Caenorhabditis elegans: one gene and its partners. The protein of the gene in region 3 purifies or fractionates together with the protein of the main gene of each other region. This does not show direct contact. Each region holds a gene or a part of one and is shown on either strand. Other genes may lie near its edges.

Region 1 (10,186 bases), on a different chromosome or scaffold from region 3:
GTGGAGTACACGACTTTCCCACGCGTTGCCCGACGGGCGATTGCCAATGGAGCGCGAGAATCTCAATGAGGAAGGCCATGGCGCGCCAGAACCCCATGATTTTTAGGGTATTTCGAGGTTGGCAAATATTCTGGAATCTTTTTGCAAAATGTTTTTTTTTTTTTGAAAAAAAAATTCCAAAAAATATCCTGATCGATGAAAATTGTTGGGTGAAAAAAGTTGCAGATTTTAGGAGAAATTTGAGAAATTAGAAAAATTAGAAATTAGGAGAAATCAGAAAATTTCCAAACTGCTTTCAGAATACTTGTATATATTGAAATAGCCTAAAAATCATGAAATTTTTCAAAAATCTCTAAACTAGCCTCCAAATTTGGTAGTAAAAATTCACTGGCAGCAACTTCAGAGCGAGATTTTTCTAGTTTAAAGTGCTCGTATGTCGCTGAATTTTTTGTAGGTACCTATTTGAAAGCTCTTTTTTCAAAATTCAAAAATTTAATTTTCAAGTTTAAATTTTGAGTAGCGCCAGTGGGGGATTTTGTCTAAATACACTTATTATGATCCAAAACTACCTGAGTAATTGCCACTTTTTGACAGTAAATAAAACATTTACAAAAAAAAAAAGTTTTATTATGATATTCGGTCACTTTGGGACCAAATGAATGGTTTTTCATAATTTCCCCACTGGCGCTACTCCACCTTTAAAACTGAGCGGAAATACTTTCCTTGTGAGCATAGCGGCAAAAAACCTAGTACCACATGGCAAAAAAAAACCCACTCATTGTTAGCCATGACAACTTCGATCTCATTCTCCAAATTGCCTTCTCCGTTCTCCTTGGTCGAGCAGCCAGTCAGCGGAATCTAAGCAAATAATGCCCAAAAATTCAATACATTCAATAGGCAAACCTTCAACTGATATTTGGTGTCCGATTGAAGCGTGCCATTTGCATAGATACACTTTGGATGGCCCGCGCGACTTTGTATCGTGCCACGGAAGTTTTCGTCAAACTTGATTTTCAATAGGAAATCTGTCTGCAATATTGAAGACGTTTTTTTCCTTTTGGGTGGTGACCTTCAAGGTTTTGGCCTGGGTTTTTAATCTTCCATTAAATGCCCTTCAAATTCGCTTTTTCGAGAGTTTAAGAGAGTTTCTAGGCCGAGGAACTTCTTGCAGCCAAATTTCTAAACTATTGTGTTTTTGCCAAAAACAATGAAACATTTTAGGTCATTTGTGACGTCATATTTTTTCCATGCAACTTTTTATTGGCTCCACACATCTTCCAAAAAGCCTAAGCCTGAGCCTAATCCAATGTCTAAGCTTAAGCCTAAGGTTCAGCCTAAGCCTACGCCTAAGCCCAAACCAAAGCCTAAGCCTAAGCCTAAGCTCAAGCCTAAGCCTAAGCCTAAAAAAAACCGGAAAATCCTAAGCCTAAATAGCGTCAGTAGCAAGCTAACGCTCGCCACTGACGCCAAACCTAAGTCTCGGCTTAAGCCAAAGCCTAAGCCTAAGCCTAAACCCATGATTAAGCCCAATCCTAAGCCTACGCCTAAGCTTGAACCTAAGCCTAAGCCTAAGCCTAAGCCTAAACCCAAGCCTAAAATTTCTAGGCCACCACTAATATTTTCAAAACTCGATTCTCAAATACTTCATTTTTTCAGGATATGAAAGTAGGACAGAAATGGGCAGGGTATATGGTATGGAGCAAATATCACAAGATGGCAGAAACATAGATACGGGGTGGGAGTGTTGGACTAGGTGACTTTTCTAGGCCATCCCTACCTTATCACACGCAATAGAAGTGTCCACAATGGCCACCGATCGAATCAGCGGTGGCAGCACCACAACCACCGACCAAATGATCCAGTGCAGAATCATAAATTTGTGGAGGGAAAAATCGATAACAGTAGTGAGGGTAATAGTAGTAATAATACAAATATATATGGAAAAATGAATACAAAAAGATGTGTGCGCTGGTTGGGGTGGTGGCGTAAGAATACAGGTGGGTGGGGGGTATAATTGGAGCGTGGCCGAGGAGGAGAATCGCAAAAAAAAGAAGGAAAGAAAGAGGATAGTAATGACATGTTACGGTAGAAGGACAACTACCTAATTATATGAAAGAGGGGGGGGGGGCGACGAGAAGAGGAAAAAGTCTTACGCAATTTGCTACTCGACTTTCAATTTCTGCTAGAAATCGAAAAAAAAATAGGAAACAAATTCCGACTCTATTCGATATCATCACTTCCGGGGCACGGCACAGGTCGGATCAGATTCAACGACGTCTCGCGATCCCGACCCTCTGATCTTACGGCCATCCCATTGTTCACATGATAGTCGATGAGCTCGGAGATGTTGCTGAACGTGCGATCGCGGGTTCGGACTCTCTGGAATTTTGAGAGGTTTGAAGGTTTGGCGGGGGGGGGGGGGGAGGGTCTTACGTTGTGATTGTCCAGTAGGATGAGATGTTTGTGCTCGTTTTCAGCGGTTCGGCCACTCAGCACGTACTTGCCGGGCGTGTGGTCGCTTTGTCTGCAAGGAACTGGACAAGTTTGAGCGGCCGACAGCTTGCGGGTCTTTTTTTAGAGAAGGGGGACTGTGAGGTGTCCGCTGCTTCAGACAATCTTAGCATCATGCAAACCTTGCATCTTTTGTATTTCAGGAAAAAAAACGCAGAATTTTTTTTGAACAAAAATTTCAGCCTAAAACAAAAATCTAAAAAAATTTTGGGAGGATGAACTTATTATACCAAATTTTTCCCTGGTCTTTCAAGAATTATTTAAAGTCCCGTGGCTTCTGAACATATTATCAAACAAATTACAGATATGAAATGTGACTGAAGCTTTAAGTCAGAAATATATAAAAAAAGGATTTTTCATACTATTTTTTCAGTCAAATTTGATTTTTTTAGACTTTCAGATTTTTCTACGAAGTCTGTTAAAATAGGCTTATATTAAAAAGCTATCCGATTTACTATTAGTAAAAAATTATAGCGACCGACATCTCGCAGGTTGTTAAAGAAAGGTGCATTGACCGGCTCACGCAACTTTGGCAGTTTATATCTCGGCTGGTTTTGGTTTTATTTAAAAAATTTCAATTGACGAAATATTTATCACTTTTTCTACTAAAAGTTTGCAGTTGAACACTTTTTGCTAGCAGCGATATTAACCGAGATATTAGCGGAAAAAGTTACATGAGAAACATGGTGCATCGACAAGAAATATCTCACAAAACTTTGGCAGGTTATATCTCGGCTGGTTGTGGTTTTATTAAAAAATTGTTAATTAACAAAATGTTTATCCTTTTTTCTACTACAACTTTGCAGTTCAACACTTTTTGCTAGCAGCGATATAAACTGAGATATGATTGGAAAAAGTTACATGAGAAACATGGTGCATCGACAAGAAATATCTCACAAAACTTTGGCAGGTTATATCTCGGCTGGTTGTGGTTTTATTGAAAAATTGTTAATTGACAAAATATTTATCCTTTTTTCTTCTACAACTTTGCAGATGAACACTTTTTGCTAGCAGCGATATAAACCGAGATATGATTGGAAAAAGTTACATGGAAGACATGATGCATTGATCAGCTATCATAGCTCATATTTTACTTATCTCAGGTTTTACCAAAAAATTGCCAATTATTAAAACATTAGCCTTTTTCTTCGAAAATCAAATTTTGCCCGAATTGCCGAAAATATAGATTTGATATTTTTTTGTAGATTTAGGAGCCTAAACATTTTTTAATTTTTTAAGTATTGACCGTTTGCTTTTAAAAATGACTAATCGAATACTGAAAACACAGTTAACTTTTTTTTCAATTTTCGAATTATAATTAGGTTTGAAAATTGCCGAAAATGTCGGCATTCAGTTGGAATTTTGGCAATTGCCGAAAATTTCCGATTCCCACGCGCCCCTGGTGTGAACCTAGTGAGCATGAAGCCAAACGTTTTAGAAATTCAGCAAAATTCTAGCTTTTTTCTATAAAAAATCTAAAAAACCTTACCGAACCAAAAAATCGCCTTCCGTCTTCAACAAAGCCTGTGCATCCTCTCTGGATAAATTTCCATGATACCAAACTTTCCCCACAACATCCTCAGTTACAGTAGGTGCTCGGCAATTCGACACAAATGACTGTCGATGCAGGGAACTTCGATGTCTCATCGGCGGCGCCGGCACCGTAAATCCATCGTTAGAAGTTGAAGCATTCGCCTGTGCATCAAAAGTGTTCACATTGATCGCAGTGGTAAGGACGTCGATGAGCTTGTGCACATCCTCGATGAACACCACGTGGCATCGACGATCCGTTCCATCCTTGTTTTTTGCAATGTAGCCGAACATTAGCTCCGTGTCCGTACCCTTTTGGCCTTGGGCTCCGAATGAGAAGAATGAGAAGGGATGACGTTGAATTAGACGACTTTGTTTTATGATTTTGATCATTTTCGAGGAAATGTTGATGTCTACGGGGAAGTTTTCTTTTTTCACTTCACCGATTACCTGAAAATAAGGATGGTTTACCTGGGCTTTTTCATCGACCCGTGAAGTGTCGGCTGCAATAATTTTAGTCGAAATTAGTGATAATAACTTTTCTATGAATAGCGGCTGACATCATTTAGCGCGATTTTTGATCGACCTGTAAGATGTCGGTTGCTTTAGTACATTCTATAGTGGCAGGCTTTTGGCTGAATTTTACTGGATATATAAGCTATCAAAATTTGAGCATGTCGATGCACCATGTAATTATCTCAGTTTATTTCGCTGCTATCAAAAAGTGTTAAAATGCAAAGTTGTAGTAGAAAAAACGATAAATATTTTGTCAATTGACACTTTTTCAAAAAAAAACCAAAACCAGCAGAGATATAAGTAGTCAAAGTTGAGTCAGATATTTCCAGTCGATGCACCATGTAACCTTTCTCTAATAACCTGTGAGATGTCGGTTGCTATAATTTTTTAGTCATTAATTTGGACAGCTTGTTAATTTGAAATAATTCTTGATGATATCGTAGCGCGGCCGACATTTCACGGGTCCTTTTTTTTAAACATTTTGCAAAGCTGGTCATGCATTTTTGGTAACACTTAATATCAAATTAATGAGAAAATGTTTTGTAAATTTTTACCATTAGCCATGCCCAGAAAATGGCAAGTTTTTTATTTTATTTTCTTTTGTTTTTTTAATTCACAAAAAAAAACTCACCCTACTAACAACTGGATTGATTTCTCGAGCCGCAGTCACGCCAACAGTAGCTGCAACGTGTTGTATACATTCTCTGAAAATTGAACAGTTACTTTATTACGTAGATTTTTTATATATTTGAGCTTGCAGATGTTACCTGCCTTCATGCCTGCCTACCGCCTGATTTCTAAATTTTTGAATAAGATTTTTTTTTGATTTTAAGCCATAAGAAAAACTAACGAAACAACTTGAACTCTCATCTCGGAAACCATCACGTTAATTGACTCGACTACTGGAACACTTCCGAGGTACTGAAAGACAATTTTATATTTTCGGGGAAAAAACTAATAAAAAACTCACAGTAGCCGACAGAGAAACCCCGCTGCTCCGCAGCTCCTCTGCAAATGAGGGCTCCACGTTGAGCATCGCCGCAAGTTGATTTTTCGACGGAATTTTTGATTATTTTTAGAAAAAATCTAACTCGAAATTCGTTACAACCGAAATTTTGCAAGATTGAGTGAATGAGGAATGACCGGGAGAGAAACGGAGACGCAGGCGGTGAGCGGAGTGGGAGAGAGAGCGCGCGAGACGGAGAGGCGCAGGCAGTGGTAGGGAGGAGACAGGGAAAGATTAGATTGGTGTTGACTGGGTGAGTCAGCATTCTAATAAGTTAAGTTGACTCATAACTTTGTTTTTTGATCAGAGGGGGGGGGGGGGGGCCGTGGCCTAGAAATATCATTGCCTACTTATTACGTCACTAATGGTCTAGGAAACCTTGATAGCTTTTTTGGAGAAGATATGACGTCATTGGTGGACTAGAAATCTTATTTTAGTTCTGGAAGAGAAATATTTTGACCGTGGAAGACAAATTAATGATGTGACCGGTGGCCTAGAAGTTTCAAATTATACCTGGGGAAATAAATGACGCCACTGGTGGCCTAGAAAACTTAAACTATGCCTGAAGACGTCACCGGTGACCTAGAAATTTAATTCTGGCGACGTCATAGAAATTTGAATTTTGATGAGAAATATAATTTTATTGGTTTTCTGAAAATTGAATTTTATTGATTTTTTGGCAACCGGGAAATTGGAAAATTTAATAAATTGAACAAATGCAATAAAATAAGCAGTTTTTCAACAGTCATTACTTTTTTCCGTGAACCGTTTTGATTTTAATTTGTAAATCTAGGTCGGAAAAGTCACACACACCGAGGAGCTAGGCTTCCCTCATCCTCCCTGGATCAGTCGGTAACTGCTTCGACTGGGGAGTGGGAGTGGGAGGGGTGGGATGAGTTCAATTCTTCTGGAATTCCATAATTTTTATTTTTGTTTTTTTGCGCCTACATATACCTGTGAAAATTGGAACTCGACACAAAAACCTCTCTAGCGCGGCTTAAATTTACTTCAATTCTTCCGGAATTCCATAATTTTTATTTTTGTTTTTTTGCGCCTACATATACCTGTGAAAATTGGAACTCGACACAAAAACCTCTCTAGCGCGGCTTAAATTTACTTCAATTCTTCCGGAATTCCATAATTTTTATTTTTGTTTTTTTGCGCCTACATATACCTGTGAAAATTGGAACTCGACACAAAAACCTCTCTAGCGCGGCTTAAATTTACTTTCCTGTCCCAAAAACTCATCTATAATATTTTTAAAAAATCTAGAATCCAAATCTATCAGATTTTTTTGAATTTTTGATTTTTTTCACATCGAGATTCGGAATCAGCGGAAAATTTGGAGTCAATTAAAAATATTTTCCAGATTTCGATACTCCACATTTAAAGGAGATCACCTGAAACGCCAGAATATGATACTTCATACTCTCCATCTTCTCGCTTTTGAAAATAATCAAAAAAAATAGTCGCCGTATTTATTGATATAGAAAAAATACCAACAAAATTGTAACTATTGATTAGCCATACAGGGTCTTTAAAGTCAACATTCATAGTGGGAGCTGGAAATAAAAATATATAATAACTTGTTAAAAGAATTTATTGTGGAGTTATAACACCTATAGACAATTAAAATCACCTGCTGCCTAAAGAGTATTTACCAGAAGCAAAGGTTTTCTGAATTTAGTGGAGTTTGTCCATTTACTTTTTTGCATGTTATTGAATTGAAATGATACATAGTGAAACTAGAGGTAAAATTATTTACTAGGTTTAGGCTTAGGCTCAGGATTAGGCTTAAGCTTAGGCTTAGTTTTAGGTTTAAGCTTAGGCTTAGAATTACCGATAACTGATAACTTTTGCAAATTTAGTTTCTGTAATATCGGCAATAGCCAAAATTGCCGGAAATTTCTGCGATTCGAATAAATAAATTGAAATAAAAATTAGTTCCTAAGATACATGTTATCTTTTTGCAGGAAAGTAGTAAACTCATGAAATGAGAAATTGCGATGAGGAAGGAAACATTCCTATGGTTCCTTAGACAATTTCTCACCTTACATTAGTATATAATATATAAATGATGAATTTGACTTTTTGAAATTCTCTTCAATAAATACATTTAGTTGTTTTTTTTTTAATGAGTAAAGTTGCAGAGTGTGGAATTTGCTATGAGGAATATGGTGAATATTGTTGGAAATTTTTCTGAAAGTTTTCATTTTTTTTGGAAATTTAGAGAGTTGGGTGTAATTACTGAAAATTATGTTTTAAAAAAATTATTTTAATGATTTTTCAAATTTTACAAAAAACTCATTTTTAAATCATTAGAGGTGAAGTAGCGCCAGTGGGAAGATTGTTAAGATCCACTCCTTTAATCCGAAAAGTACCGAATATCATAATAAAACTTTTCAAAAGTTTTTAGAAACTTTTTTATTTACTGTCAAAAAGTGACAACCACTCAGTTTTTGCCACTCATAATTTTGGAAGTCGACCAAAAAAAAAATTTGTTTTCCTACATTTTTTATACTTCAATTTTGTTTTAATTATTTGTATTGAAAAATTGTAGGGGTCGAAACATGCGACAATCCTGTCAGTTTTCAAAAATCTCTACTTACAAAATATAGGACACGCTCCAAAAATGGATGTTTTTACAGACAACGCCATCCGAATCCCTTGCATCGGCACATGCGGTCATACGTTATGTGACAGTTGTCGTGAGAAAATTAGAGATAAAAAATGTCCTCAGTGTAATCAGAAAGGCGCATTTGTTGTGAAAAATGTGAATAAACAATTTTGGGATTTAATTGTTTTTTCGCAATTTTTAAAACCCCAGGAAGTGGAAGTTGAGGAGACTGAAGAGGTTGGTTAGAACTTTTTTTTTGGATTTTTCGGTATTTCCGGGAGGTTATCCTTTGGGCCTAAAACTAGGCCTAAGAGTAGGCCTAAGCCTAAGCCTAAAACTAAGCCTTAGCCTAAAACTAAGCATGAGCCTGAGCCTAAGCCTAAGTCAAGCCTAAGCCTAAGTCTGCTGCTATCAAAAAGTGTTAAAATGCAAAGTTGTAGTAGAAAAAACGATAAATATTTTGTCAATTGACACTTTTTCAAAAAAAAACCAAAACCAGCAGAGATATAAGTAGTCAAAGTTGAGTCAGATATTTCCGGTCGATGCACCATGTAACCTTTCTCTAACAACCTGTGAGATGTCGGTTGCTATAATTTTTTAGTCATTAATTTGGACAGCTTGTTAATTTGAAATAATTCTTGAAGATATCGTAGCGCGGCCGACATTTCACGGGTCCTTTTTTTTTAACATTTTGCAAAGCTGGTCATGCATTTTTGGTAACACTTAATATCAAATTAATGAGAAAATGTTTTGTAAATTTTTACCATTAGCCATGCCCAGAAAATGGCAAGTTTTTTATTTTATTTTCTTTTGTTTTTTTAATTCACAAAAAAAAACTCACCCTACTAACAACTGGATTGATTTCTCGAGCCGCAGTCACGCCAACAGTAGCTGCAACGTGTTGTATACATTCTCTGAAAATTGAACAGTTACTTTATTACGTAGATTTTTTATATATTTGAGCTTGCGATTGTGTAATCAAAAATAAACATTTGAAGCATGATACGAAATATTTGAACGATTTTTTTTCGGAAAATCAATAAATGAAAATGGAGTTTTTTTTTTGGATTTTAGCAAACTTCCCAAATGACGGAAAGATCATATGAAGCGATTATTTTTTCTTTTATAAACCTGTTCAGGATTTGCATTATTATGAGAAAATCCTAGGCCAATTAGGCTAGCATGTACGGAAGTATTTTTTAAAAATTTATAAAAGTAATGAAAAGCTGATATTTTCAAAATTCCAGAATGACGGAAAAATCATATGAAATGCTTTTTTTTTCTTTTTTAAACCTATTTAGAATTGTCAAAACTACCAGAAAATACTAAACAAAATAGCTTAGCTTGACCGGAAATATTTTTAAAAAATTGATAAAAATAATGAAAAGCTGATATTTTCAAAATTCCAGAATGACGGAAAAATCATATGAAGCGATTCTTTTTTCTTTTATAAACCTCTTTAGAATTGTCAAAACTACCAGAAAATACTAAACAAAGTAGGTTAGCTTAACCGGAAGTAATTTTTACAAATTGATAAAAATAATAAAAAGATGATTTTTTCAAAATTCCAAAATGACTGAAAAATCATATGAAGCGATTCGTTTTTCTTTCATAAAATAGTTTAGAATTGGAATAATGATCAGAAAATACTAAACAAAGTAGGTTAGCTTGACCGGAAGTATTTTTAAAAAATTGATTAAAAAAACTGATTTTTAAAAAATTCCAGAATGACGGAAAAATCATATGAAGCGATTCTTTTTTCTTTTATAAAGTAGTTCAGAATTAGCATTATTATGAGAAAATCCTAGGCGAATAAGGCTAGCATGTACGAAAGTATTATTTAAAAATTTATAAAAGTAATGAAAAGCTGATTTTTTAAAAATTCCAGAATGACGGAAAAATCATATGAAGCGATTCTTTTTTCTTTTATAAACCTGTTCAGAATTGTCAAAACTATTAGAAAATACTGAACAAAATAGGTTAGTCCTAGGAAAGACTAGTTAGGA
Region 2 (8,502 bases), on a different chromosome or scaffold from region 3:
CTTTTTTTTCTGTGACGACGTATTGTATACTATTTACAAAGAAAAAGCTTATACGTCAAAGTATTTCGTCGAATAAAGGTTTTATAGAGCTGATTATAAACTGGAAATTATTCTTTCTCTACGAATTAATCAATAAACGTATTCAGAAGAGGTTTTTCGCAAGTGTGAAACGCTATGTTCAAAAACTGCAGATTTTACCATACTTGCGCTTTTTTATAATTCCGAGATTAATTTTTGGAAAAAATAGCAAAATTTAAGCAGTTTATGTTTAAAAAAGTTCGTTTTTAAATACGCTCAAATAAAAAAAGTAAGTTTTAATTTTAAGTTTCAAAGGGTTGAGTCTCGCCGCGAGAATTGAGTTCTTGAAAAATAATTGGTGCATGCGCCTTTAAGTTTACTGATTACATTGCAAGTCTGCATTTGCGCGTCGAGTTGTGTGTTTTTACGTACATTCGAAATAGTTATATTTATTTATTGCGCAATTGCATTAATGTTTTTCTATACCGAATTTTCATTGCTTTCTTGCAAAATACATGTATTTTCTTAAGAAATTTGTGAATATTTTAAATTATACATAATTGTTTGACCTTTCAGGAAAAATGATTGAAATCACAGTAAACGATCGACTCGGAAAAAAAGTACGAATCAAGTGCAATCCATCAGATACAATTGGAGATTTGAAGAAGTTGATCGCTGCACAAACTGGAACACGGTGAGATTTGAAAATTACCTTTTTGAATTTGATAATCTTTTTGAAATTGACTGATGATCCCACAATCTTTTTTTCTGAATTCTTAAACTTGAAAATCAATTATATTGAAAAAAAAAGAATTTAGCTTTTTTATAGACTTTAGAAGTTAGAAGTTAAAACGTTTGAAAGGAAAAAAAGAACTTAAAAACTAAAAAAAATCAAAAATGGCACAAAAAGTCGTTATTAAAATGATCTCGAGCTAGGAAATCGCGTTTTAAAATACAATTTTTCTGTGTTTTGCCATCTCATGCGGCTATTCGCATATGTTATTTTCGTATGTTTTATATATTAGAAACAAATTGAAAATTTGAAAAACGGCAATTTGCCGATTTGCCCAAAGTTTTCCAAGATATTTTACATGAGAAAAAACATTAATAACATTTTCATAGATTTTACTTGCATGTCAAAATAGTTCTAGGACATTAAAATAGTGCATTTAATTTTGCAGAATTTATAATAAAAATTTAAAAATTTACAACAATTGCAAAACGAAAAATTTCCGACTTTGCAAAAAAAAACTTGCCTCCCAGCCCTGTGTTTTATTAAATAATTGATTTTTTTGTAATTTGATCATAAATTTCGACCGCCATTCTTGGTGATGAAATATACATTTTTTATTGTTTAATAAAAAAAAATCAATTAAATTTCAGATGGGAAAAGATCGTGTTGAAAAAGTGGTACACCATTTACAAGGATCATATCACATTGATGGATTACGAGATTCACGAGGGATTCAATTTCGAGCTCTACTACCAATGATTCATCAGAATTCATTTCATTTTTTAAACAATTATTTACTTTTCAACTTTTCATGAATTTCAATTTAATTTTTTTTGACTTCGAATAAATTTCAACACTTTCTTGATTTAAATGCACTTTTAAAAACATCTTATATTCATTCTTCCACCCCATTAATTTCTGCCGTCTTGTTTGACCACTCCCTCTTTCTTCGCTCCCACCCGAGTAGGCTCCGCCCATTTGTTCGACCCAAAAGATTTTGTCCGATTTTTTCTCTTTTTCTCTCTAATTCTCTTCGCCTATCAATGTGTTTGCGCGAAACAGTTTAGTGTGGATAGAGAAAAATCAGTGGATAGTTAATTTTTGCAGATGTTTTTTTTTTGAATTTTCAAAAATATTACTTCTAAAAGACATTTCAGACCAAGGGCAATGGCTGCTGCAGCTCTGTGCTGTGCTTCAAGGGTACGTTTTTAAATTGAAAAGTTTGAATCCCGAAAGCTTAAAATGAAATATTTATAGAATACAAAAATAAAACAACTTTTGAAAATTAATAAAAAAATATCTCAAAAGTTAAAAAAAAAGTTTCTCTAAATAGAAATATTCAAACATATGGTATCAATAAGCAGTCGTATTGACCTCGTTTCACAATAAAAATCTGGATTATCCGTTCGTTTTTTTGGTCACCACAGCTTTTGAATTAAATAGCTATTTTTTAAAGTTTTGTTTAAAATAAAAACTTTAATTGAAAATTCAGAAATAATCTCAATTGTATAACTGTATTCTATTTCCAGTTTATAAAACCTAATAAAAACCAATGTTAATCACTTTTGAAAACATTTCCTTTTAGTTCTTTTCTCTCTCTTGTCATTCCCTTGTATTTACTTCAACAGTAGTAAAATAAGAAGGACATAAGCTCTCTTCGGAGGGCTCATCATCTTTTCTTTTCCATTTTCTTTTTTATTTATCTATGTGTCCCTTCGGAGCGCGTAAAAACAGTACGGGCGGCCCGTTTACCTTTTCTCTGCGTCTCTTCGTCTCCAGTACTATTTCGTTTTGGATGGCTTCCAAATAGTGGACACCCTACCTCCCAACGGAAGAGGCTTGAAACAATCGTGAGGTTCTGAGCACATTCCAAGCAAAATAGTGGAGAAGTGAGATAGAGAATGGAAAAAGAACAACTTTTTTTTTTTCAGAAATCGACTATTTTCAGAAACTCATGAGACGTAGGGCAAAATTGCGTGCGCCTTAAAGAAGTACAGTAACCCATCATGCGATTTTCATGGATTTTCTTTAGTCTTGTAAATCCCAACTTCATAGTATTCCAGCAAACAATCCTTTTTCGAATAAGTGTTTCAAAGAAAAACCCGAAGATCCGAATGGGTTACTGTACTTTTAGAAATATTTGGACCGTTCCGAGTCCGGAACACAAATTTTCATTATAACGTGCTCCATGTATTTTTTATAAATATTTGAAGTACTTTAAGAAACAAGAGGCGCAGGTTTTCTATTAGAAAAAGAAGAAAATTGTTAATTAGTTAGTGCGGCGTCGATTGTAATACCGGAAATTAGACGAATTAGAAGGAAATAGGAAATGCTTCTTTTTTGATTGATTTCTATCAATTCTGATTGCTTCTGAAACATTTTTGATTGGCAAACTTTAAAGTTCATTGAACATGAAACATAGCTCTAATGATAAAATTTCCAAAATTATTTGAATTAGAAAACTGTATGAACCCTGTAAATCATGGCTTTTCTGATAATCAAATTTAGAAAAAAAACATGAATTTGCAGGTTCAATTAAATTTTGCACACAATCTATGAAAACACTGATCTGAAGCTGTCCCGATTTTGGTATAATACTTTCTTCAAATATTGAAACATCTATTTTAACAGTGTGGGTTCTACCACGATCAGAGTAATTCCAAATCTGTAAAACTAAGCAACTTTGTTTCAATCCAGCAAAATGCCACACCCATTTTCCGATATAATCAGGTGTTCGAATGAATGTTTCCTCGTTAAAACGGGCGGTACACAGCTAAGAAAGGTAGATCATTTTATATTGAATATATAATATCAAAACGGACAAGAAAAGGTAGCCGACACGCTTTTTTGTGTGGCTATGTGTCGCCAAACAACCAAAAGTGATAGTTTTTGGTTTTTTTTGGTCGTTTTCTGCGATTCATATATGAATTGATGTATAAATGTACATTTGATTGGAAAACGGAATTGGAATTTATTTAAAAAATGAACAGAAATTGGTATGAAAGAAAAGATTTAAAAGGGTAAAAGGAAATATGAATGTTAATTTGGTTTTTGAGTAATTTTTTAACTAGTTAAATAAGTTTGTGATCAGGAAAGTTTATCTGTTTTTAATAATTTTTTAGTTGGAAAAATCTTGCATTAAGCTACTCCATTGTGGCACTTTGGATAAATTTATTATATGAGAGTAGACACGTAACTTCAGGAAAAAATGAGGCACATAGATTTCAAATTTATTTTTGACAATAAATGAATTTATTTTGGTTTTCATCGAACAAATTAAATTTTTTCTACGATTAAAAAACAGTTTTTGAGAACAAATTTTAGATTTCTAGAGACACTGAAAATCTTCAAGTTAATTTTATTATCAATGTTGTAGTACCATGAGCAGAAATATAGACTAAATACACTTCCAACTTGATTATATATTCTAAAAAATCGTTCAAAAATCTTTTGGCATTTTGAAATTTTCAGTCAATGTTTTAGAAAAATGCCGAATGTTCCAAAAATATGGATTTTTTGAGTGAATACGAGCATTCCTCCAAGTTTGAAAAAAAGCTGAACCACCGTGAAATTCAATTTGGATGATTTCCAAAATTATCATAGGAGAAATCGTTTTCCTCACTTTTTGAGTGTCTAGGAATTCTACTGCTCCCGCAAACCTACTAAATAGAACAAAACTTAATTTTTCAGAAATCCAACAAATACAACAATGAAGCTGGCTACGAGGTGTACACAATTAGCGAGGACCAACTTCGTCTTGTAGGTCAAATTACATACATTTTGTTTCTTTCCCTTACAAACCACAACTAGCACAGAATAAATCATCTTGTCACCTTTTCTTTGTCACCTTGTCACCTTTCTTTACGCAATTCTCCCTCTCACTTGCTTGATATCAAAAACAGGATTTAGGTAACCTTCATGTCGACTTTATCACTTTTTATCTTCCTCCAACCGAATTTTTTCAACTTTTCGTATCCAATAATTCAGTATTACCTTCTTTTTACAAAAACAATTTAAAATTTCTATATTATCAAAATACTATAAAAAGAAAATTTCTTAAAAGCCGAATTGCTGTATAAAAGGAAAAAAAGTAGAATACAACTAAAAAATAAATAAATCAATGTGAAACAAGAGAATATGAGCTCATAAATTAGGATTTGGTTTCCTTTTTTTTTCGTTTTGCTCACTTTCTTCCATTTTTTTTTTGCTAAAAGTATTCCCAAAAGAGGATGAAGCCGTTCCGAACATAAGTTGTCCATTTCCGTTCACCGAAATTTTTTTGGTTTTTTGTTGGGGTCGCCCGTCGACAGAATCCTTTTTTCTGTTTGACGGGACCCACTAATTCAATTTTCTGATAGATTTTTCATTGCCCATTTCTGTCTTTCTTCCCAACTTCTTTAACCGAAAGCGTCTTGATTTACGTTCTCATTCCTACTCACGAGTTTAAATATAATATTAATTCAGGATTAATGTTTAAAAAATCAATTATTGGCATTTTAGATAGTTCTAAATGTGTGTCCAACTTTTGAAAAAATACCAAATTTTCAAAAAAATTCATTTTTTGAGTACACTTAGACATTGCTACAAGCACCTATAGTGTTCAAACACAAACATATATAGTTTTTTATAACAGTTAATTTAAATATAAAAATTGTAGAAAAAATGTTGTTTTGTGAACTTGCAAAATGAAAGGTAATTATGAAAGGTAATTGCCATTTTTATGACAGTAAATTAAACAATTGCAATTTTATTGTTATTTTTGGATTTTTTCCAATCTTTTGAGCTATATTTGTACCAATATTACTGGGACATAATAAGAGTGACAACCACAAATGATTAGCCACTTCTAAAGTTTTCATAGGTCAAGAGTATGGCAAATATCTCAAGTTTTCAAATTTCTTAGAAACTAATTTCCAAAACCTTATTGAGCGTATAAAAATCAATAGAATTATTTAGTTCTTTTGCACTGAATAAAATTTGAATTTGAGACAATTTAAAAGAAGTTATGTGTGAGAGTGAAAAAAAGAAAGAAGAGACGAGGAAGAATCAAAAGACAAATGTGTCAAATTTTGGGTTTGCTTTTTTCTTTTCTTTTTTTTTTGGTTGAAAAATTGAGACGAGTATCTTTTATTCTTTTTCAACTCACCCAACTTATCTCAAATTTTGTTTTGAATTGCAAAAATTTGAATTTCAGAAACAAAAAATGAAGGATCGAAAAGAAGGTGTACAGGTGGAATATATAACTTCTCGGCTTATTGGTAATAGTTTTTAGTTGAACTATGATAATTATTTGAGACTTTGCAGTTTTATCATGTACATCAGAGACCAGCGAACGGAAATTTGTGGAATCATTGCTCAAGGCGTCACAACAAATTCAAAATGCTCATAATAAACATATCAGAGTGAGTTTTTAATTTTTTTAATTTAAAAGAGTAAAACAGATAGTCTGTCAAGAAAAGTCTTTCTGTTTTGGAATTCATACAAAAACTATGTCCCAACAAAGAATTTGACAGTGAGGCAATTTGAACTGGAAAAAATCGATCTGAAAAATCTTCCATTGTATTTTTTAATCAAATTATATTCATCAAAACATTGAAAATTGTTTTAAGGTAATCCAAAAGTCCAGGAATCAAGTCCAATATTCGAAAAAAACATATAAAAGGATGTTTTGACTGAAAATTTTCAGATAATTTTTAAAAACATAAAAATGGTCAAAAAATTAACTACTGACAGTATCCGAAAATCCACTTAATCCACTTAACATCTACGAGCCTTGAATGCTGTGAAAAACAGAAAAAAAAAGTAATATTGGATATTTTCCAGTTCAAAGGTCCCCTCGGCCGCTAAATTCTCTGTAGAAAAAGGTATTCTTCCAAAAGAAAAATATTCCGTTTAGAAGTTCAAAAGTGAGCTGAAACATCTCCCCTTTGCTATTTTTTCTGTGAAATTTAGAACAGTATTTTTAGTTTTATTATAAATTTTTCATTAATAGATTTTACACTTTATCAGAAAAATGTTGGCTTGAATAATTGAAATAATCGGAAAAATTGAAATTTTTCAAAAAGATTTGAATGATCAGGTATGGAATGTATCTCAACGTCGCCATGACATCAGTTCTTCTCTCGATGCAATTCCATTTGGTTGGCCATCAGAAACTGCTCCATCACTTGAAAAATTATGCACAATTTGTAAAAATTTGGATCAATGGATGCTTGAACATCCTCTTAATATTGCTGTTATCTTTTGTAAAGGAGGTCTTGAAAGATGTGCAATTGTTGTTAATGCTTTTATGAGATTCAATGCTATTTCTGCAACGTGGGTTTTTTCTCACTTTCGAATGTAAAAATTATTCAAACAGTAAATTTTCAGAGACGATTCAGTTGATGATCGATTCAGTATGCAGAGGTTTTCTGAAAGATTCCTAGGACCCGATGGACCACCCAGTTACAAAAGGTCAGTTAAGTTTTCAAGTTATTATAAATTTAATGTTTTCAGATACCTCGGTTATTTCTCATCACTGTTATCTGGTCGAATATCTGTCAACTCAGATCCTTTATACCTTCACAATATAATTTTGACATTTTTCGAGCCAATCAACGTCTTTCTCAAGATATACGAGCGACTTGTGCCAGTTTATCAGTCAAAAACTGTGTAAGTACTTATTTTTGGAAATTTCCTTAAATAACAGGTATTTTCCATAGTAGAACTTGAAGATTTTAATTTCTGAAAATATAATTTTTAAAAATAAATTTTCAAGGCATAGAACATATTAATTTATATTATTTAGAGCTCTAAACAAATCTTCAAAATTCGAAATGGATGGAAGTCTGAAACTTCGTGGCGATATTTTCTTCAAGTGTATTGTAGCAGCTTCATCGTAAGTTTTGCAAAAATATGATCTAGGGTAATTTGAGCAGAAGTAACCAATTACTAAGTCAGATATATCCAAAAGTTCAGTTTGTATCTCACGATACTTGAACCACTTCTGGCAACTTTTGTAAGAACGGAAATTTTGCGAAAATTTAAAATTCTGAAGTTTCTCGAAAATTGGTTGAATGTTTGGAACAAAAAGGGAGTTACAAATTATAGTGTCTTCTTCTTTTCTCTTCTTTCCTTTTTGTGCTCAGGGTGTTTATGCTCTCGGAAATCACTTTGTCTTCTCCTTTTTTCTGGACATTTTTCCTTTTGCTTCTCACACATATATAGACAAACACAAACCCATAAGCCACTTTTGAAAAGTAAACAGAGAAATAGAGAAAGGAGCATCTTCTTCTTCTTGCTTTTTTTTTCATTTTTCTTATTTCCTTTTTTATTTTTCTGTTTGCACGATCGTTTAGTCCGTAATCTACTTATCAAATTAAAATTTGGGACCGATGGTTTTAGGAAAAAACACTTTTGCAGATACTTTTTTCCAGAGTTCATTGTATCACTTCCTGTTTGAAATCAGTAATTCAGTTTCCAAATAGTTTCTGTGCCATGGTACAATAATTACCTATTTTTATAATTTTCAAATTTAATAAAAAATAAATGTTTCAAATATCTAGCTTAGAAATAATTGCCTGAAAATAATATTTATTCAACTACTTTTTTTAAAATTGCTTCACTTTTTTTATTGAACTTTAAAAAAATATTTAGAGTTCGCGATTGTCCTTTAAATTTGTTTTTTCCTCTAGTGAATAGTTTCCAGACCTGGATCATCTACAAGATGTCTATTCACTTGTCAACTCAATACATGTGCACTTGAATTACAT
Region 3 (11,179 bases):
CTCCATTTTGCGTCCGATCAAAAACCAAGGTATCGTCTGCGCCATGAGCACGCAATCAATTCAACACCCTAATACTCACTTTCCGTCGATCTACCGCCTCTTTCCCGGTTTCTGCATTTCCTTGCTCACCCGTTGCCACACAATATTGACATTACGGTAGGAACTAGAAAAAGGTAGGGCCAAAACCGAACGCGATGGAAAGTAGCCAGACGAGACGCTGAGATTGACACCACCCCGACTGTCTAAGCGACCAGCCGCTCAACACCTCTCAAGTCTGCCTTTATTTGGTGGGCCGAGCAATGTGAGAAGCACGCGGTAGTTGATGGTATGCCGTCGTTTTACGGTTGCACGCACGTGTGTAATCTGAGTCATTCTATTCATTTCCAAATAATTCCACACTTGTGCATACCGCATTCCAATTCGGCTTGCACTTCATTTGTACTTTGATGTTGGCATTTATAGCTTAATTTCTTTCAATGTTCCAATGATTTTATTTTGCAGATTTACAGGCGTGTTTCATTGCGGGTGTAAGAAGTCATTTTAATAAGCAGAAGTCCACTGATGAGGTTATTATTTTTTTTCAGCATTTTATACACAGGTGAGGTGTTTACTACAGCAATTTCTTAAGATTACATTTATAGCTTCATTATGCTGTCAACTAAAGGATTTCTTGCCGTGTGTAATGCAACTTAGCGCTCAGAAGGTATGTATTCTTGGGAATAAAATTTTAAAATTCATATTTAGGTTGACTTCAATATGAATCCCATTGAAGTTATTTTCAATATTACGACAGAAGCAAAGCTAATGCATACTTGCAGGTTTGAAATTTAGGAGAACCAGTACCAAACTAAAACTAATCATGTTTTAGAACCTATAGTCGCATCCTCCCGTGTTTTGATCAAAAAATGGTACAGTGCGGTAAACCCTCTGAAAAAACCCAACTAGAGCGCGGAAAAAGGTTACATTCATATTTATGTGCTCCATTTTCTCTACAACGACAGAAGATCTTCTTGAGAAGAAGCAAATGCATTCAGGATGTGCTAGCAGAACCGCAATCATCGGTTTGTAACAGAAATGATACGGTTTTTGCGGATAAGCTGCAATCATGCAGGTAAGTATATATAGGTACTTTTTCTTTTTCAGTAGTAAGGCATATTTACTAATACTGCACCCTTCAAGGCCTTCTAAAAATTAGTATCGTAGACTCCAGTAGTACTTCAGTCTCTATTAGTACTGCACCCCTGTTTTTTACGAGAAGCATCCTTATAGTTTCAACAATTTAAAGATATTTTCATGAGCCTTTTTCATAGTTTTGCACTAAATTAATAACGTTGTTAATTAAACGTGTTTTCTGTAACGATATTTCACAATTTTTATGATTTTCTATTTAAGATATTACTTTTTTGTAAGCGAATGGTCATATTCTCCATTTTAAATTAAGCACTCGAAAATTAGTAGTCGAGGAAATTCCGGAAACGAGTACTACATGCCGCAATAATAGAAAATAAACATTACTTGATTATTGTAAGTCACAAAACACACTTTTCAGAGAAATGTGTACCCGACCAGACTGCGTGAGCAAAATCGAACTTTCGGAAGTGTCAACTTGCACTTATATCAACATTGGTAAGAAATGTACCGCAGAAGCTGCTCAATTTTTTGCACAGATGCAACAGGTACCGTCTAAACTTAACAACCTCCCACAAAGAAAAAAATTAAAGGTTTTAACTAACAAAGAATATCCAATGCAATGCCAATATGATCTAAGAAAAAAACCGGAATCGGAATTGAAAAAAGGGTTACCTATTGAGTCTCTGGTGGCACAAACGACTTCTTCCACAACTTATGTAACCGTTCATCCTCCCGCACTTCCTTCAGTAATCGACGGAGTTGTCACGAGGACTAGTCTTCCAATCATGAGAAGAACTGATCCAAACTCTAAATTCAAACCACGGCCAACAACTTCTCAATCGAATGGACCTGTTATAAAAACTGTGATTGTTGATGAACGTGGCGCTCCAATGAACCAACCAACGTCCACTCAAAAGCCAAAAGTTGTGCACAAGTTTTTGCCAAACCCGTATACCACAAAAAACCCAAATACATTGAAAAACGATATCATCAGAACGACCAGAACAATTATTCCCGTCGTTGACAAACATACGTACGTTCCATGGAACTATAAAGTAGACGCTGTTCAGGTTAGTGCCCTTATTTCAGTGAAAATTTCAAAAAAAAAAAGTTATCTTTTTGCAGGTGTCTACTTTAACAAGTGCTTTAGCACCAGTTAAACCTACGGAAACAGTAATATCCTCCCCTCCAGTTGCATTTAATTTCAAGTTACCTGCTGAGCAGACTTCTACACAACCATTCAGAGTTGAAATAAATTGGCATGATGACGAAGTTAAGCAGGAACCAACAAAGGCACCAGGAGTTGTATGTTTTGTTTTTTATTTGCTTTATTCATTTCAATTTGTTTTTTAGTTCGTCTCCCCATGGTATCTAAAGACACCATCACATATACCACCGGAAATTGAATTCGCTACACCAACGCCATTGATCAGTTCGCCACTAGAAGCTGTGAGCCCAATTCTCAGCCAATTGAAATCAAACTCGTTGAATTTCACGGAACTCGGAAACCAGGCAAACAACTACTTCTCTGCAGCATTAAGTGCATTCGCAGAAACAAAGAAGGAAATGGCACACAATGACCCATGGCGGACTATCATAGGTTTGTTGTGACACCAATTAATGAGTTCATGAATGTATAAAGATTTCAGGAGCAATACTGAAGTTTTTGAGGGAGTAAGATAATTGCTGAAATTTAGAATATTGGTTTTTGCATTTTAGGCTAAAACTAAAAAAAACCATTTGGCATTTAAAATTAAACGTGATATGCATCACTGTTACAAACTATATTTTCTAGACAAAAAATTTCATTAGGGTTTCGACGTAGGTGCCGAAAAAACCGGCATCACTGCACTTCATGTTAGCATCGTAGAAATTACTGTTATTCATTTTCCCATAAGCTCATTCTTTAATGGTCTGAAAATGTACCAAATTATACAATGTTTTCAACTTTTAAAGATTTTAAAAAGGACTTCAGATCAATTTTTGTACTGACGATGATATAAAGTGTTAACTGATTTAGCAAAGCTGCATTAATTTATTTTATTTTCTGTATGGAGATTCTCCACTGTTGATGCCTTAAAAGTCTTTAAATTGTTTTTGAAAAAGTTCTATAGTACAACTAATTGCAGATGCCGTTGCTCCAACTATTCATAAATTTTCACCGGATGTGATACCTCGAATTCGAGAAGAAATCAACAGAATTCAACCTCACCAGCAAAAAAATTAAGTGTATTCTTCCCTATTGCCACTTAACTTATGCCATTTATTTATTTCATGTCATCATTTGTTTTTTTTTATTTTTATTTTATTCTATCTGTAAAATATGCTCATTTCAATTTGATTGATTTACTTCCATGTGAAAAAAGTACATAGAAAAGGAGAACAGGATGAAAAAAGAAAAGTATATGTGTATCAAACCCGCAAACAAATTGTCAACTAGAACCGCTGGAGCAATAAGACGGAAGATGGAAAATACAAATGCAAAAAGAAGTATTCATAAGGATACAAATCACAAAGAAAGTACCAGTAACTCGGGACAGAATCGGATTGATTGCAAAAAATAACTTTTGATTGATTTTCATATTGAAAATGAATGGGACGAAAGGTGGTGCGCAATTACAAAGTCGTGGAAGAAAAGTTTACATGAATATTGAAACTGAACGCGGAACTAACAGAAATCTACCTCGTGAACTTGGATGACTTAGACCGATGTCTCTGAGCATTCACTCAATAATTGGTAAGGAGTGCTCTGTGGAATTGCAGTTGAAGTTGAAGGACTGTCGGATGGAAGCTCGGCAAGAGTTTTGGAATCGTTAGTATCGTTTTGACAGTTTGCTAGGAGAGGTGTGTTTGGCATCTCATTCTGATAAATTGGAAATGCTGGGTCGTGACGTGACAAGCTCAGAAACCTGAAATGATAAATAAAGTTTGTGGTTTTCTATTGATATTATTGTGGTAAAAAGCTCATGGAAAGTAACACAGGTTCAACAATTACTTTAACCAGAAAACATAATCCATTTTTGTGAAATGAAACAAAAAATTTTAATTCAGTAACCCTTAACCTATTTTTGGAAATCAATGTCAGAGGGAAATTGTTGCATGGGTAACTCAATTATGTTAGAAACGAAAGAAAAGCAAGCAGCACCTACTACTTACTCGCTCATAACCAGCTTGTAACTGTGAGCGATCATATCCTTCCATATACTTCACAACGTTTGGAATGATAGTCACGAGGTCGCTAAACTGCGGCCGTTCGGCAGGATTTGCTTTCCAACAAGCCAACATCACGTCGGTGTATCTGAAAATTGTTGTTTATTTTAAATGCGGGTAACGGTTATGACCAACATTTTTTATAGATGATAAATATATCCCTTAAAACCTGATAACAATATTGACATTGTTTTTGAAAATTACCGGATTTTAAGTAAATTTATGAATACAAACTCGAAAATCTATCGGTTATCAGTGTTAAATTTCAACCGCAAAACGACACTTCACTCTTTTGGCTCTCTAAACAGGGCGTCCTGGATTTGCAAAAACTTCTCTCGTACGTGGTTTCAGCAAAAATTTAAAGCTGGGTATAGTGTTTTGTAAAATTTCAAATGTACATAAAATTGTTATTTCACTAGAATTGTTCTTTAAAAATGTAAAAAAGTCTTGTATATTCTCTATTAGTGCAGCAATCATTTCCGGGGCTTTTTTAAGAACTTTTGAAATGAAAAGAAGAGGTTCCGCACTAATAGAGATTGCAGTACTAATAAAGAATATACAATAAAAGTTATTTTAGAGACTTTAAATTCTCTAAATTAATTCCTAATTTTAACTTTTAAACATTTTCCAGGCGATAACTCACAATTTCTCGGGACAATATGGAGGTTTCCGTAGCCTGTTTGTCTCTGATTCCTTCAACCATGGAAGAATCAATATCCAACTAGCCATATTGCTGTACGGTGTAGATCCGCGTGTGAACAGTTCCCAGATAACAACTCCAAACGACCAGATATCGGATGTTATGCCAAACTGAAAAACAATTAATGTACACGTTTGGTTATATCGTATTTTGTTTTGCGTTTAGAAATACAACACCTGTGCAAATGCCGGGCAACCTAGACATACCCCTTGTTCGGATATTTCCGGCGGGAACCAACGCACTGGTAAGTCTCTTTCGTGCATTTGAACATATAATTCCGTTTCAATATCCACTTTTCTGCAGAGACCAAAATCAGCAATCTTGACTCGGAGGTGCTCATCCAATCTGGAATTTTAATATAATATCTTGAAAAAAAAGAAAAATGAACAAACAAGCAATTTCTGCATGCAAGATCTCTATGAATAAACTTCTTCGAATGCATATAATTCATTCCTTTCGCAATGTCAAATGCGAATTCGAATAAATCTCTCATTTTGATGGTATTTTCCACGTTTTCGATAAAGCTCTTCAAATCGCCTTTTGCCATATACTCGGTAATTATAATTGGAAGATGGGAAGAATCATCTAGTGCAACACCGATCAGTTTGAGAATGTTGGGATGGTCAAACTCAGACATTGTTCTTGCTGAAAGTTTTGAGCTTTTTTTCAGAGGCTTCAAATAATACGGAATGTCTACCTTCCTCATAAAATTCCGAAATTTTTCCTTCTTTCAGATATTTACAAACAACTTTTTCCTCCAAACTTTTGGATGGTGAGTACATCGCTTTGTAGACAACTCCATAATGACCTTGGCCAATAGGATCCAACTTGTCAACGCGCAGGTTCTTGAAATCAACTTTGAGATCGGGACGCATGCTTCTGAAAAACAATAATAATCGTGGTGTGTTAAAAGTATTGGGAGAATATTTACGATAACTTTTTTTTAAGTTCTGCGGCTATTGGATGTCGTCGAAAGGTTTTTATCTCATTTTTTGGAATCATCTTACGAAACTTATGGAAGGGAACACTTTAAAAAATACTCGCAGTATGGGAAAAAATACACTTTTAACCAAATGAAAACTTAAGCCAATTTCGACAATCCTCCAGAAAATATAGACCTACCTAAAAACTTTAACGTAGTTGTCTCCGTTAATTGCTAGCTGAGCCTGCCTTCCAGCCATGTGTCCCATATCGTACTCGTTCTCAATACGTTGACCAATTGGCGGTCTGACATGAGTTTTAATTCTGGGGAATCGATTCCTCATGTAGTAGACGATTATAGCGACAATCAGAATAATCGTCATCACCGAGATAATAGCAATTGCGATCTTCCATCCAGGACTACTACCCTTCTTATCGTCAACTTGACTATTCTTCACATCTGTTTGAGTCCCTCGATCAGCTTGTTGATAGTCAAAAGGGAAAGAGTAGTTCTTGTCCCCAATCATACCGCTTAAAAATACTTGTTTGCATGAATCACCGATGACTTCATCTGGGTTCGTATCACATTGAATACTGCAAAACGCATTTTAGAAACAAACGATTATTTTTTTTTATTTACCTAGAAGAATCAACAACCGTAACTACACAATTTGTTCCGCAGGCATTTAACTTTGGATTTTTCAATGCACGGAAGCCATCAACAACTGCAGTAAATCCTGAGTTATTATTGTACTTGTGAATCTGAAAATACAGTTTTAAAATTTTTATTGAAGATACACGGAAACTCACCCATCGCATACTTGGTGGACACTCGTGCTTCAAATTATTTTTGCAGCTGCTGACTTCTGAAGAAGTAATGGTTCGCTGTGCGTTGTCATCAGCGCACCAGGAACACTCTAAAGGATCTTCCCATCCACCTTGACGCAGTGTCTGACAATTTGGATATAGCCCTTTGCATGAAATATCCAAACTTTGCAGCTAAAAATTTAATTTTTGTTCAAAACATTTTCTTAAAACACTTACTCCTTCGACCGTAGTGTAGAGTAGCTGATTTTCCTTTGTTTTTGTGATAGAGAATTTTCCGACAACTGAGATGTTGGTTCTCCAGTGTGGACGAATATCTGCAGATTCGGATGCCGAAAACTAAAAAACAATTTTGAAAGCAATTTCGTGATGTGAAAAATGCATACCCTTAAAACATCTGACATATCAAACTCTCCCGAGACGGCGGCAAAATATGACTTTCCATCAGTTATTAAAGATTCAGCGATTCCAAAGAAAGGATAAGGAATTCTGAAAATATTTTAGTATATTTCAAGAGAAGTGGTGAACTCGGCAATTGGTCGCAACTTCTAAACCAAAATTATTCTCTTTAGCCATGTCAAGAAACTGCGGCAGTGTGTCGAAAACTTTATATGAGGCTAACTCAATTTTTTGCAATTTTTAAAATTTTCTTTCAACAAGCGATATACCTCATCATGAGCTCTCCTTGCAAAACATTATAATCTTCCAACCATCCGTACCGATAGCTGTTACTTTTGGCAGTGTGAAGCTGACAATTGTCCAGAGCATCGCCTCTCTGCAATTTTTAAGTTTTAATTCGCATAGAAAACATGCACCTACCCCATATCGCACGCAAAGAGTTGGTGATGATTCATCGTCCAATCGACTATACGTCAAGCAGCCCTTTTTTACCTTCATTTGATCAAAAATTTGTGGGTACTTGCAACGGGTTGTCTTTGCGGTACTGCCAGAAAATGAAGTTTCTTGGCAGGTACTCCAAATAGTTTTGAATCGTTTTTCAATGTTGGCCATTTTGAAGCGACACATTAAGTGGTTCTTAAAATATATAGGTTCAATGAAAAACGCATCACTTTATAAAACAAACCATAGATGTGTGATTGAACATCACAATGTTGATTAGATCATTTGCATGATCATAAACAGCAGTCTCACCCCGGGAACTTATATTTCTAACTGAAATTTTATCAATAAAAATTTAGTTTTGGTATTTCAAACTTTACATTCTTGATCGCAACCAACTAAAATTGAGATTTTTGATGCCAAGTCTGCAGTTTGATCTGTCGCGCAGAATCTAATGACTTTTGTGACCGTAACTTTGTTATTTGACTGATCGTGTAAAAATACTTCTGGCTCAAAGATTTGGCTTGCAGTCATCACGAAGTATACAAATCCTTCCCTTTCAAAACCAGTAAGGGCATGGTTGTTGTGAATAAAACTTGAATCGGCATGATACGCTGTTGGGATAACAGTTCTGTAATCAACCTTATTAAAATTATCTCAGACAATTATAAAATACCCAGTGTCTTGAGCATTATATCGTAAAATCATTGTTCTTGGGTTGTCTGGATCTTCCTCATTTTTAAATGAAATTGCTAACATTATTTGCCCTAAATTCTCTATTTTCACAGCACTCGAACTTAAGATCTCTTGAATTTTTGGCTCATCTCCGTTCAGCATAAATGTTGAGCACGATGATGTAACACCGGAGTATGTACATAACCTGAAAAATTGAAATTGAAAAATTTACAACAAAGCAAAAATAGATACCCGCAGCTTGACTCATCGCAGTAAAATATTTCAGATTTCGAGAAGAGCTTCAATTCCAAAAACTTGGTGCGTGGATGCATATCAAGTGATACATGGCCAACTGTTCTACCTGCAAACAGACAGACGTTTGATAACCGGAAACAAGTGAAAAAAAAAATTACTCACGTTCTTCATTATTTTCAAAGACCTGAAATCGCGAATGAGTAGCGACAACAAGTAGATCAAATCCAGTGATTACACCCAGCACCTTTAAAACACAATTGTTGACTTTTATTTTTTATAGGTCAATTCTGAAATTCTTCAAAACCACTCACATGTTTCTTAAATGACTAAATATCATTGTTTTTTTTTTATTTTTAATGTGGCGAAATAAAAAGCGGTGAAGACTCAGATCTTATCTACAATAAATTTGAAAGCCAACAAAACGATTTTTTTTCTTATGATCTAATCATACTTATTATATTAGAACATTATATGGATTCAAACCTGAACCTGTTCTCGAATTTTTAAAAAAATACTACACTGTTCGAAAAATTTGGTAATTTTCCAATACTCTCACTGAAAATTTTTCAAAAAATCAGAAAAACATTTGGAATGTTTGTTATTATGATATTTGATCATGCCTAAGTGAATTTAAGTTGAATTACATATCTTAGTAATGGTTTTTGAACTGTGCGTTTTTAACTAGGTTCAAAAAATAATCAACGTTTGGCGACAACGCTTTGTTGCATTATAGTTCAGAAACTGGCGAACCTTAGGCAAAAGTTAGACAAGAGTTGAGAAAATTAAATTTGGACCGCATTTAATTTTTGGGTCAAACTTGTCAAGACTTTTGATCAAAGATAAATTAAGTTTTGAATAAAGCTATTCACAAAAAACCTCACATTTTTGTTCTGCAGCTCGTCTCTGGACACAAAAACACCATTGCCGTTGAGGAGTTTCCCGTTGATTTGCCCGCCAGTTGCAGAAGTGAAGCACAGCAAGAGCACCAAGAAGCGGAAAATGGAACTTTGAGTGGTCAGCTCCTTCGCCGAACTTTGCGACGAGCCGAGTACCATTTTTGATTATCCGCAAGACATGATGTCCCTGGAAGTTGGGCGCTACATATTAAAAGTTTTTTGTTGAGTGATAAAAAATCCCTTTTAATCTAATTAAATTCCAAAGTTTTGTGGGAAAACTGATAGACGTTCAAACTACAAAACATGACAAAATTTGAAAAATTCAAACATTTTTAAAAGAAGGAAGAGAGAAAATAAAAAAAAAGAGTGGAGCAAGAGGTCCGGAATGAAGATGAGACGGGAGACATGTGTTTTTCTCTTCCTCTCTTTTTTTCATTCTATACAGAAAATGACTCGGAGAAAATTGCGACTCCGGCACCCGTTTCGCAATAATGACAGGGCATGGAAACATCTTTTCCAACATTGTGATGAAAGACAGGCTATCGAACGATTATGTAAAACTATCGAAAAAGATCAGTTGCTCCCTACACTCTATTTTGAACATCTTAGTGGACGAAAAAAAACGAGCAATTACTTTTATAATAAGACGCATTATTTATTTTTTTAATCAAAATTTGATTATGTCAATTTCTAGCGATTGATGTTTTGTTTGTTATAATAAAAAACCAAGTAAGGGTTATGAAAAATTGGAAGCGAGCTTTTTTCATTGCTCTAACATTTAAAGTAGGGCATTTTCTTTCACGAGTTTTGCTTTAAAGTGTTCTTTTTGGCCACAATACACTACAAAAACAGAAAAAAACGAAAAAATAATCTTAGTGGATCTATTTTTCCGCATTGATACTGAAATAGTTTTTTTAAATAAATACTTATAGCCGTTAGTAGCCGTACCATAAAACATTTTCTCAGTTCCAAAAAAATTACCATGGCCGTTTTTACAATGTTTAGCTTTAAAATGGCGGTTTTCTAAACCTAAAAAGAAATATTATCTCACGTTCCGATTAGATTACCTTTTTTTAAATAGAGCGGTACTGCTACTACATAGGTACGTTTTCATTTTCTGTATTCAGAAGACATAAAAATTAGTGTAACATCTTTACATGTGACAGTTCTCCTTAAATATTTTCAACAAAAAAGTCTACAAACGGGAAAAAAGCTAGAAACAGCCCCTCAAGCTCGTAATCAATATTTTGCAAATCACATGGTTGTGGAGCTTATCAGTTCTATAAAAAAGTTCAACTCAACACCAACACCCTTTAAAACCACAAACCATACTTTTCACTTCTAAAGAAAATTTTCAATCAATGGTACTACTGGAACTTTTTTTGTTGTAGAATGATTCAGCGAGGCTTAAGTTCACGCAAGTCGGTAGGTAGAGTTGGAAACAAATTGAGAGATCTAGAGAAACACAGAAACGAATTATAATCATGAAGAGAGGGACGATAAATGATGGTAAGTGAGTCATGGCAGGAACATTGGCCAACTACTACTGATTCGACCCATTTCCGATGACGATTTTTTAACAATCGTTTTGTTGGAACAAATGAGGTGAAAGATAGCAACTGATTGGAAATGCGTGTGAGCGTGAAAATGTCTGATAAATCTGGTGATGTCACCGCAACTGATAAACGTTATGTCTTTTTTTGTACTGGAGGATCGCACTTGAAAA

What was found.
Region 1: the proteins of svh-2 (region 3) and shc-1 purify together in Caenorhabditis elegans (affinity purification with western blotting, with the first as the bait; one study listed by BioGRID). This does not show direct contact.
Region 2: the proteins of svh-2 (region 3) and tns-1 purify together in Caenorhabditis elegans (affinity purification with western blotting, with the first as the bait; one study listed by BioGRID). This does not show direct contact.

What each region holds. Positions count from the first base shown.
Region 1 is NC_003279.8:967,460-977,645, forward strand, and holds shc-1 (SHC-transforming protein homolog 1), read right to left. Parts: upstream 5,675-10,186; 5' UTR 5,594-5,674; coding exon 5,528-5,593; intron 5,479-5,527; coding exon 5,408-5,478; exon of another isoform or gene 5,262-5,407; coding exon 5,189-5,261; intron 4,628-5,188; exon of another isoform or gene 4,492-4,627; coding exon 4,001-4,491; intron 2,525-4,000; coding exon 2,434-2,524; intron 2,380-2,433; coding exon 2,221-2,379; 3' UTR 1,874-2,220; coding exon of another isoform or gene 1,778-1,873; 3' UTR 1,629-1,777; downstream 1-1,628. Other genes in the region: cutl-20 (ZP domain-containing protein), read right to left, coding at 776-858, 904-1,029, 1,778-1,873. UniProt on the Caenorhabditis elegans protein: Scaffold protein which plays an important role in the activation of the JNK pathway composed of mlk-1, mek-1 and kgb-1; by bringing together mek-1 and mlk-1, promotes mlk-1-mediated phosphorylation and activation of mek-1 which in turn phosphorylates kgb-1.
Region 2 is NC_003279.8:5,600,934-5,609,435, reverse strand, and holds the start of tns-1 (Tensin homolog), read left to right. Parts: upstream 1-1,906; 5' UTR 1,907-1,918; coding exon 1,919-1,951; intron 1,952-4,441; coding exon 4,442-4,510; intron 4,511-5,945; coding exon 5,946-6,009; intron 6,010-6,055; coding exon 6,056-6,153; intron 6,154-6,830; coding exon 6,831-7,066; intron 7,067-7,120; coding exon 7,121-7,204; intron 7,205-7,246; coding exon 7,247-7,402; intron 7,403-7,538; coding exon 7,539-7,628; intron 7,629-8,438; coding exon 8,439-8,502. Other genes in the region: ubl-5 (Ubiquitin-like protein 5), read left to right, coding at 600-712, 1,402-1,510. UniProt on the Caenorhabditis elegans protein: Probable phosphatase which regulates axon regeneration after injury by linking the svh-2 and integrin signaling pathways.
Region 3 is NC_003284.9:6,551,749-6,562,927, reverse strand, and holds svh-2 (Tyrosine-protein kinase receptor svh-2), read right to left. Parts: upstream 9,641-11,179; 5' UTR 9,613-9,640; coding exon 9,439-9,612; intron 8,802-9,438; coding exon 8,720-8,801; intron 8,664-8,719; coding exon 8,555-8,663; intron 8,508-8,554; coding exon 8,304-8,507; intron 8,259-8,303; coding exon 8,008-8,258; intron 7,961-8,007; coding exon 7,872-7,960; intron 7,823-7,871; coding exon 7,607-7,822; intron 7,563-7,606; coding exon 7,456-7,562; intron 7,277-7,455; coding exon 7,174-7,276; intron 7,127-7,173; coding exon 7,007-7,126; intron 6,962-7,006; coding exon 6,773-6,961; intron 6,725-6,772; coding exon 6,603-6,724; intron 6,557-6,602; coding exon 6,164-6,556; intron 5,921-6,163; coding exon 5,739-5,920; intron 5,687-5,738; coding exon 5,434-5,686; intron 5,387-5,433; coding exon 5,248-5,386; intron 5,152-5,247; coding exon 4,985-5,151; intron 4,430-4,984; coding exon 4,277-4,429; intron 4,041-4,276; coding exon 3,833-4,040; 3' UTR 3,463-3,832; and 1 more. Other genes in the region: Protein aaim-1, read left to right, coding at 562-598, 642-703, 745-818, 869-1,111, 1,550-1,676, 1,722-2,201, 2,257-2,436, 2,485-2,731 and 1 more. UniProt on the Caenorhabditis elegans protein: Receptor tyrosine kinase which may phosphorylate mlk-1, a component of the mlk-1, mek-1 and kgb-1 pathway. Involved in axon regeneration after injury by promoting the generation of productive and stable growth cones.